Linked DNA regions of Macaca mulatta. The protein of the gene in region 2 binds, or shares a complex with, the protein of the main gene of each other region. Links are inferred from orthologs where the notes say so. Each region holds a gene or a part of one and is shown on either strand. Other genes may lie near its edges.

The links. The genes of interacting proteins can lie anywhere in the genome.
Region 1: the proteins of IPO13 (region 2) and EIF1AX are in contact, whole or in part, in a crystal structure (PDB 3ZJY), measured with the Homo sapiens proteins. The link is inferred for Macaca mulatta from reciprocal best matches to the Homo sapiens genes IPO13 and EIF1AX. Residues at the interface, in NP_055467.3 of Homo sapiens: Tyr365, Asp369, Leu372, Asn936, Lys937, Arg938; in NP_001403.1 of Homo sapiens: Leu42, Arg82, Lys88, Tyr106, Gly107, Glu108.

What each region holds. Positions count from the first base shown.
Region 1 is NC_133426.1:19,873,815-19,877,560, forward strand, and holds the start of EIF1AX (eukaryotic translation initiation factor 1A, X-chromosomal), read right to left. Parts: upstream 2,769-3,746; 5' UTR 2,581-2,768; coding exon 2,565-2,580; intron 1-2,564. UniProt on the Homo sapiens protein: Component of the 43S pre-initiation complex (43S PIC), which binds to the mRNA cap-proximal region, scans mRNA 5'-untranslated region, and locates the initiation codon. This protein enhances formation of the cap-proximal complex.
Region 2 is NC_133406.1:196,705,967-196,709,688, forward strand, and holds the start of IPO13 (importin-13), read right to left. Parts: upstream 2,863-3,722; 5' UTR 2,226-2,862; coding exon 2,142-2,225; intron 446-2,141; coding exon 1-445. UniProt on the Homo sapiens protein: Functions in nuclear protein import as nuclear transport receptor. Serves as receptor for nuclear localization signals (NLS) in cargo substrates.

The sequences.
Region 1 (3,746 bases), on a different chromosome or scaffold from region 2:
TTAGGGGGGCCTCTACAATTTCCTGACCCGCTCAGAGTCCTTAGAATTCAGTATCTGAGGCATTCTTAGGGAACACTGAAACTAATTTCCTAGAAAGAGAAAAGTATGAAGCCATTAATCATGCCAGATCTGCAAAACAGAGTGCAAGCTCCTTTAGGGCAAGATCATACCTGCTCTGTTTCCTGAGTTATATACCTGAGTTCACTAATTCTTCAAATGAATTGGTCAAGAATAGTCCATACATTCCTAACGGAGTGGTGAGTTAAAAATCATAGGCAGTAACTTCTTCAAAGTGTGGGAGCACTATACCCTAAATGCTTATAAGTGGGCCAAATGATACCCCTTTTCCTGATTTGAGGATGGGTTTCTAAGAATTTCTAGAATAAGTTGATATGAATCAATCCAAAGCAAAAGTCACTTAACACATAGTATGTGGCAAATTTTACCCTTACTTGTGTAACCACAGCTTATATTCACAGGGCTTCTGGATTTTCCAATGCAGAAAAACAGAACAATAAATGACTTTATTTCTACATTAGTAAAACCTATCTCAAAAAATTCAGGGGTCATGAAAAGTACCATTCCTCTAAGTAAGATAACTAAGAACTGATTGGTTTCAAGACAGTACAGGAATGATAAACACCAAACTCAGCCTGGTGATAACCTCCAAAAAGAGAGTAAAAGGTGATTAGGGCTTTACCTCAATTTGCGTTGTAATTCTTAAATTCAGAGTTTCCAGGTTCTGAGAAACCCCTGGGTTCCCAGGTCCATTATGTTAGCTGTATTTTTTGTATGCCTCAAATATTATTTAAGAAACCATTCATTACTTGTCAACTTACCAGAATTAACCATACCCTGATCATTCCCCTTTGTATTTTATTGCCATGTAATGGGATGTTCTTTAAATTCTCTGTTGAATGAATGAGACTAGGTCTGAGTGTACAACAATTAAAGTGACATCAACATTCTTTAAACCAGAGTTGTTTTGGAGAAATTCCCAGAGAGGCTCTTTCTTAAGACATGAGGCTAGGGAACTAGATGTGATTTAGTGTAGAAGTCCTATCCCCTTGGAACCAAAGCAGAACCTATTATTCACCTAAGGGTGGAGTTGACAGGAGGAAGGTGACTTAAACCAACAAATATTTATTGAGCATCTACTAAGTGGCAAGTGCTAGCAATCGAATGTGATTAAGACAGATACTATTCCTGCCTTTTAGAGCTTACAGCCTGGTGGAAGAATTGAAAATCTTATTACTAGAAATAAAGGTGAGAATAAGATGGAAGTGATCCCCTTACCATCTCAGAGAGAATAAAGGATTATACAGAAGAAAACCTAAGACTTAAAAAATTTTTTGTTTATAACTCGATCTTTTCCAAAATAATGAGCAGTGAAAATCCTTGCTACAAAAAGTTTGATCTCCGAGGGCAGCAAGGTGGAGAGCCCCCGAGAGGACTGCACCAACTTGTGCACAGAACACCCTGACCAAGTACCCTAAGGGATAAAGTAATAAGTGACAGCTACAAAGAGGAAATGTGGTAGAATTCCTGGAGCCAGCTGTCAAGCAGAAAAGAGAGCAGAAGTAGGCCTGTGTCAGGGAAAGATTTCCTAAGAATGAATAATCAAAGGAGACTACTTATGGACTATGAAGTATGCTCCTCTCCTGTAGGAAAATACAATATTTTCCCTATATTTACTTGCACAATTTTCTTCAACAAGTTATAAGGCTATTAGAAATGACAGGAACACTGTAAATCTATAAAAGTAATTTATTTAGAAGTGTTACGCCTTTTTTTTTTTTTTTTTTTAAGATTAGGCCTTTCGTTTTGGAAATCCCAAATAAAGTTATCCTTAAGTCTGATCATTTGTGAATCCTTAGCCTCAGAATGGAGAAAACTTAAATTAGGTCTTTATTCTCACAACATATGCATGATCTGAAGCAAAAGTAGAAAACTTGGCTAAATATGGAATAAGTCTTCAGCAAACAAACATAAGCTATATCCTGTAAAGGGATGGAGAGAGTAAATCTCTAGAAGTGAGCCTTAGAAATGCATCAAGGTTTCACCCACTGTTCACAAGGGACAACGAGTAGCCTCAACAATACTGAACTGTCCATAAAGAGATCCATGCAGGAGTACCTGGTGCTCACGAACGCGGACAGCACTCTTTTAAAAGTTCAGAACGGCTTCCAGGGATTAACCCCTCATGCCCGGGAAGGCCAGATGGGCCTATCTACTAAGCCTAGGCCGCCCGGTGTAGGGTTCCCGCCACCATCGCCACCGAGCCGCGGTCAGTCTGGCGCGAATCAGGAGCAAAAGCCCATTCTCCCGCAGGAGGCCCTACAAAAATGGCGTCGGCTCCACCCCAATGTGGCCAAACTGGGCAACAGGAGTTTACTTCCCAGCTCCTCTCCCGAGCTCAGAGTCGCGTGTGGGGCGCCCAGCCGCGGGCAGGTAGGGTGGGAAGGAAAAAGGGTCACTGCGACCTGGGTGACCTGCAATCTACGGGCAGGACCTGGGAAACTCGGCCGAGGAGGGCCGTGGTCCGGGGGTCCGGGCGGCATTACCTTTATTCTTGGGCATGGCGGTGGCGGCGACCTCGCGGGGTCTCTGACTTCTTTCCGGGTAACGGCGACCGAGGCGGTTGCTGCTCCGAGGGGCGACACGAGGGAGCGCGCGGGACCAAGGAGGTGCTGGAGGCTAGGCAGCGTGCGCGAGAGAGGATCGCAACCGAGCTCTTCAGAGATCCGCCAGCGTCCACGCTCGGCGGCAGCAAATGGCGTCGCGACTGCTTGCGTCGCTTTTCCCCGCCTCCCGTCGCCGGCTGGGCCCGCCCCCTAGGCTTTATGGCGCAGGCGTGGCCGACTGACCCCCATTGTTAGGGCCGAGGCAGACGCGTTCTGGGGGGGTGCGCAGCAAGCCGGAGAGGACGCGAGGGGCAGGGCCGCAAGCAGGGAAAAGGCGGAGTCAGGGAGGGCGGGGGAGAACCTCTGCGTCATAGAAAAGGGCGGTTTGAGGTGGCGCTCGCTGCTGGTTAAAGCCAGACCTCTGCTGCTTTGTAGCAAACGCGCGTCTCCCAGTTTGACAAATGGTTGACTTGTTAACCTCATGGTTAGCTCAGTTTTAAAAATATATATATTTTTTAATTTTAATTTTATTTTTTGAGACGGAGTCTTGCTCTGGAGTCGCCCAGGCTGGAGTGCAGTGGCGCGATCTTGGCTCACTGCAACCTCTGCCGCCCGGGTTCAAGCGATTTCCTGCCTCAGCCTCCGGAGTAGCTGGGATTACAGGCACGTGCCATCACGCCCGGCTAATTTTTGTGTTTTTAGTAGAGACGGGGTTTCAGCATCTTGGCTAGGCTGGTCTTGAACTGCTGACCTCGTGATCCACCCGTCTCGGCCTCCCAAAGTGGCCTCCCAAAGCCACCGCGCCCGGCCAATGTTTTAATTTTTTTATTAAGACGGAGTCTTGCTCTATCGCCCAGGCTGGAGTGCAGTGGCGTGATCACGGCTCACTGCAACCGCCACCTCCCGGGCTCAAGCGATTCTCCTGCCTCAGCCTGCCGAGTAGCTGGGATTACAGGCATATGCCACCATGCCCAGCTAATTTTAGTACTTTTAGTTGAGACGGGGTTTCGCCGTGTTGGCCAGGCTGGTCTCGAACTAGTGACCTCAACTCGCGCCTGCCTCGGCCTCCCAGAGTGCTGGGATTACAGGCGTGAGCCACCGCGCCCAGCCGGTTGGCTCATA
Region 2 (3,722 bases):
GACCCTGGCCATCCACTGGTGAGTCCTCAGCCTGGAAGAGTCGTACCATATCTGCCACAGCACATGGCCAAGCGTCAGGCATCATGCTGAGAGCCAGTGAGGCCAGTGCCACGCACAGCCGAGTCAGTACAATCTTGGAGCCACTGGCAAAGCGGGTGATCTGGGTGAAGAGCTGTGCCTTTAGGCTTTCATACTGGTCAGTGGGGATGTCACTCCAGTAGCGAGAGATCTTGATGTGAAGAGCACTGGCTCCAAAGTACTGGATCTCTGGTACCTTGTCAGGTTGCAGTAGCTGCCAGCTGAAGTGCCAGGCCTGTGGGGAGACCTGGGCCTGCATCAGCCACTTCTGAGCCAGGTTCTTGTTCTCAATGTTGGGGTCATAGTAGAGCTGGTGCAGCGCCTGCAGGACAGCACAGGACTGAACAGGTGCTGGCCACTCTGGATCCTGCCAGAGCCCAGAACAGAGGTGTGACTTGGTCCTGCAAGGGTGCTCCCTCTCCCTGACTGGGGGGCTGAGCAGGGAGAGCTCAGGGCTCTGCAGTGTTTCCTGGGCCTGGGGTCCTGCTGATATCTTGAGAGCCTGAACCTTGTTCATGCTCTACCATATCCTCTTCTCCTTATAGCAAAACATTATGGGTTCAGAGAGGGAATCTCCACAGGAAAGCGAAAAAAGAGGAAGCTGATCTCCCCAAAGGGGAGGCACTTGAGGGCAAAGCCCAGGTGGAAGGAACAGCTTCGCAGGGATGAAGCTAAGTCTGAGAAGGGCATGGAACAGCTTGAGGGGACTTGACCCTCCCAGGCACAGCTGCTCCCATCAACTCCAACAGCTCCTTTCAGCTCCCCCAGGATCATCCCTAGGTCACTCCAGATGCTGGCACCAAAGCCAGTGTGAAATCAGAGCAGGACTAAGACTTTTTCCAGGCAGCCCTGGGGCACAGATATACTGGAGGGGAGGGTGAGAACACTCCTCAGAGGGCACATGTCCAACCAACTGATCCAGAGAAGCCTTGGCCATAGCTGCAGCCCTGGCAAACACCTCGCCTAGTGCTCTCCACTAGCAGAATCCCCAGGGTCTCAATTCCAATGGGACTTTATCAAGTAAGAAAACAGTGAGATTTATCTCCCAATAGCACATGGAACAGTGCGCCACCATGCCAACACTGCCCTGCTCCAAGGGGTGGGAGAGTGTGGCCAGGACCCTGACCCTTAATCAGGCTCCATCCAAGTAGGCTTAGCTCTATTCGTACCCCTGACAGCCAGTTATGGCCATTGGCCCTTGTTTGGCCCCTCAGGGATGCCAAAGCAGACAGAAGAGATGCATCCTCATTATTTGTTATGGCAAACAGGGTTAAGGATAACAAGTGAGCATCTGCAATCATTCCCTGCTTTCAAGTAAGGGAGCCCTATCTCCCCATTCATCCCAGGGTGTATGCATTCCTGCATTTCAGGTTGTAGGGAGCAGATACAAAAAAGAACTAAAGAGGCAGTTCAGAAAGATGGGCTGGGCAGTGGGGGAGCCTGGGAGGGCCATGGCAGGGAGCTATGTGGGCAGGTGAGTAGGGAGGAGCCCTGTAAGGCTCCCAGCTGGGCCAGGACCCTTGGACTCAGCACAAAACAAAGGGAGACAGCCCCAGGCCTGCCTGCTCAGGACTGGTCTGGCTTCCATCCAATAAAGGAAGGACCCTTCTTCAAAGAGTCGAAACAACCCAGATTGTTTTAGTTCCAGATCATTTTCTGAGCCCTTGGCTCAACAAAATCAGGTCCAGGATGGTTTGGCATCAGGATAATTCCAGGAGACTGAGCTGCAGGTCTCCTGGGTTCCCAGTTTCCTACTGCACTGCTCATGCAGTTCCCATGGAGCTGGAAAATAGCCAGTCTGGATGGGAGGCTAAGTCACAGCACCCTGAAGGGACCATCCCAAGACCCTAGAGTATCTGTCCACAGGGGACCTGCCTGTAAGGAAAGACAAAAATAGCCCATTAGGGCACTGCAATACTGCCTGCCCAGATAGACAGCAAATGCCAGGTGCTCTGGGGGCACCATACCAGCGGGCACCCAGCCCAGGCCTGAGCTCTGCCATTAGTGACAGTCCCCAGAACTTCTGCTCTGTCACTGGAGTGCCCACCCCAGAGCCCTCATACCTTCTCCACGTTCTCCACAGTGAAGTCCAAGGCTGGTGCTGCTCCAGCCCCTGCAGCCCCCGGCTGCTCCTCCCGCCGCTCCATCTTTGCTCCCTCCCTGGCAGGGAGGTGGGCCCTGATCTGTCTCCTGCCCCAGCCCCTTGGCTGCTGGCCCCCTGCTAGACCCCGGCTTGGGTGCCCAGGGAGTGGTGGGGTGAGGGGGAGCCCAGGGCGGGCATGGCTGCCGAGGCCTCCCCACCTCGTTTGGGGGTGGGAGGCTTGCCAGAGGCCAAAAGGGGTGCTCTTAGGAGACCCAATGAAAGGGACTCCGAGGAGGGAGCCGTCAATGAGGAGCTCTCAGGCAGGGATCCTAGTGGTAGGTAACAGCTCTGTCCCCAGAATCTGTGTGGAGGGAGTCACTGGGGAGGGAGGCCTGCGGGGGAAACCAAGTCCCTGGCTCTTGAGGGGTCACAAGGTCGATGGCCTGTACCCACAACACCCCCGCCTGGGTGAGCTCTCGGGTGCTATGAAGAGGTCATGGGGCTGGAGGGTCACGGGGGAGAGAGCCCTTCGTGGTTACGGAGGCGTCCGACGAGGCGCGGAGATGCAGCTCCGCGAGTCTGGGGCGAAGAGTCCGTGGAGTTGAGGGGCTGTGGCAGGTCCCTTCCGTTCGGCCTGGCCCGCGCTGTTCTCACCGCCCCGCTACAGCCCAGCTACCGCCGCTGCCTCCGCCCCAGTGACTGACAGACAAGCCCGCCCGGCCGGGACGGGGCAGGGACCTCGGCAAGGCGCGGGCTGCCCCGAGCGCCTGTCCCCGGCACCGCAACTCAGGCCCCCACTCTCGCCAGTTCTGGCTCGGCACGGCCCGGCACCGCCCGGCACGGCCCAGCGGAACTGCGCGGAAACTCATTCCGGGTCTTTAGCCCTGTCCTCGCGCCAGTCCGCGCTCCCCTGAGCAGGCGGTGGAGCGGCACGCCGCCCCAGGCCCCCGCAGAGTCTAGGCCCCGCCGCTGTTCACCCTGGGAAATGTAGTCCATGTTGCGCCTAGCCGGAAGGCGGCGCCCTGCGGAGGAGGCCGGGAGCACGTGGGTTGGGGACCTGCAGAGCCCCGCCTGTCCTCGGCCTACCGCGGCCAGCAGGCATTCCGGGTCAGACCGGCGCGGGGCGCTGCGGCCCAACTGCTTAGTAGGAGAACGTGACTCGAGGGGCCCGAGGACGGAGGTGGGAGCCCGGGCTAGAGGGTGGAGGCTGGGGAGGTTGCCTGGTGGCTCTGGCGCTCCGCTGCGAGGGCATCCTCCGGCCCAGCAAAGGTGCAGCCTGGGAAGAAGGCGTCAGCACCACCCAGAGAAGAGGAGAGGGGACTTGGCACGCCTCAGGAAGGAAAAAAGGAAGGTTCTTGGGACCACCCAATAAGCAACCGGGAAACCACATACCATGGACAGTGCTCGGGGAATTTCGTAAGGTTTTTGGAAGTAACTTTATGTGTAACTAGAATAAGAGTAGCTTACATTTAAGTGCTAGGAGCAGGACTTTGCATACCTTAGGTTCAGTTTTCTTAGTAGCTCTGAGCTGGGTATTTTTATTCATCGTTTTCAGATGAGA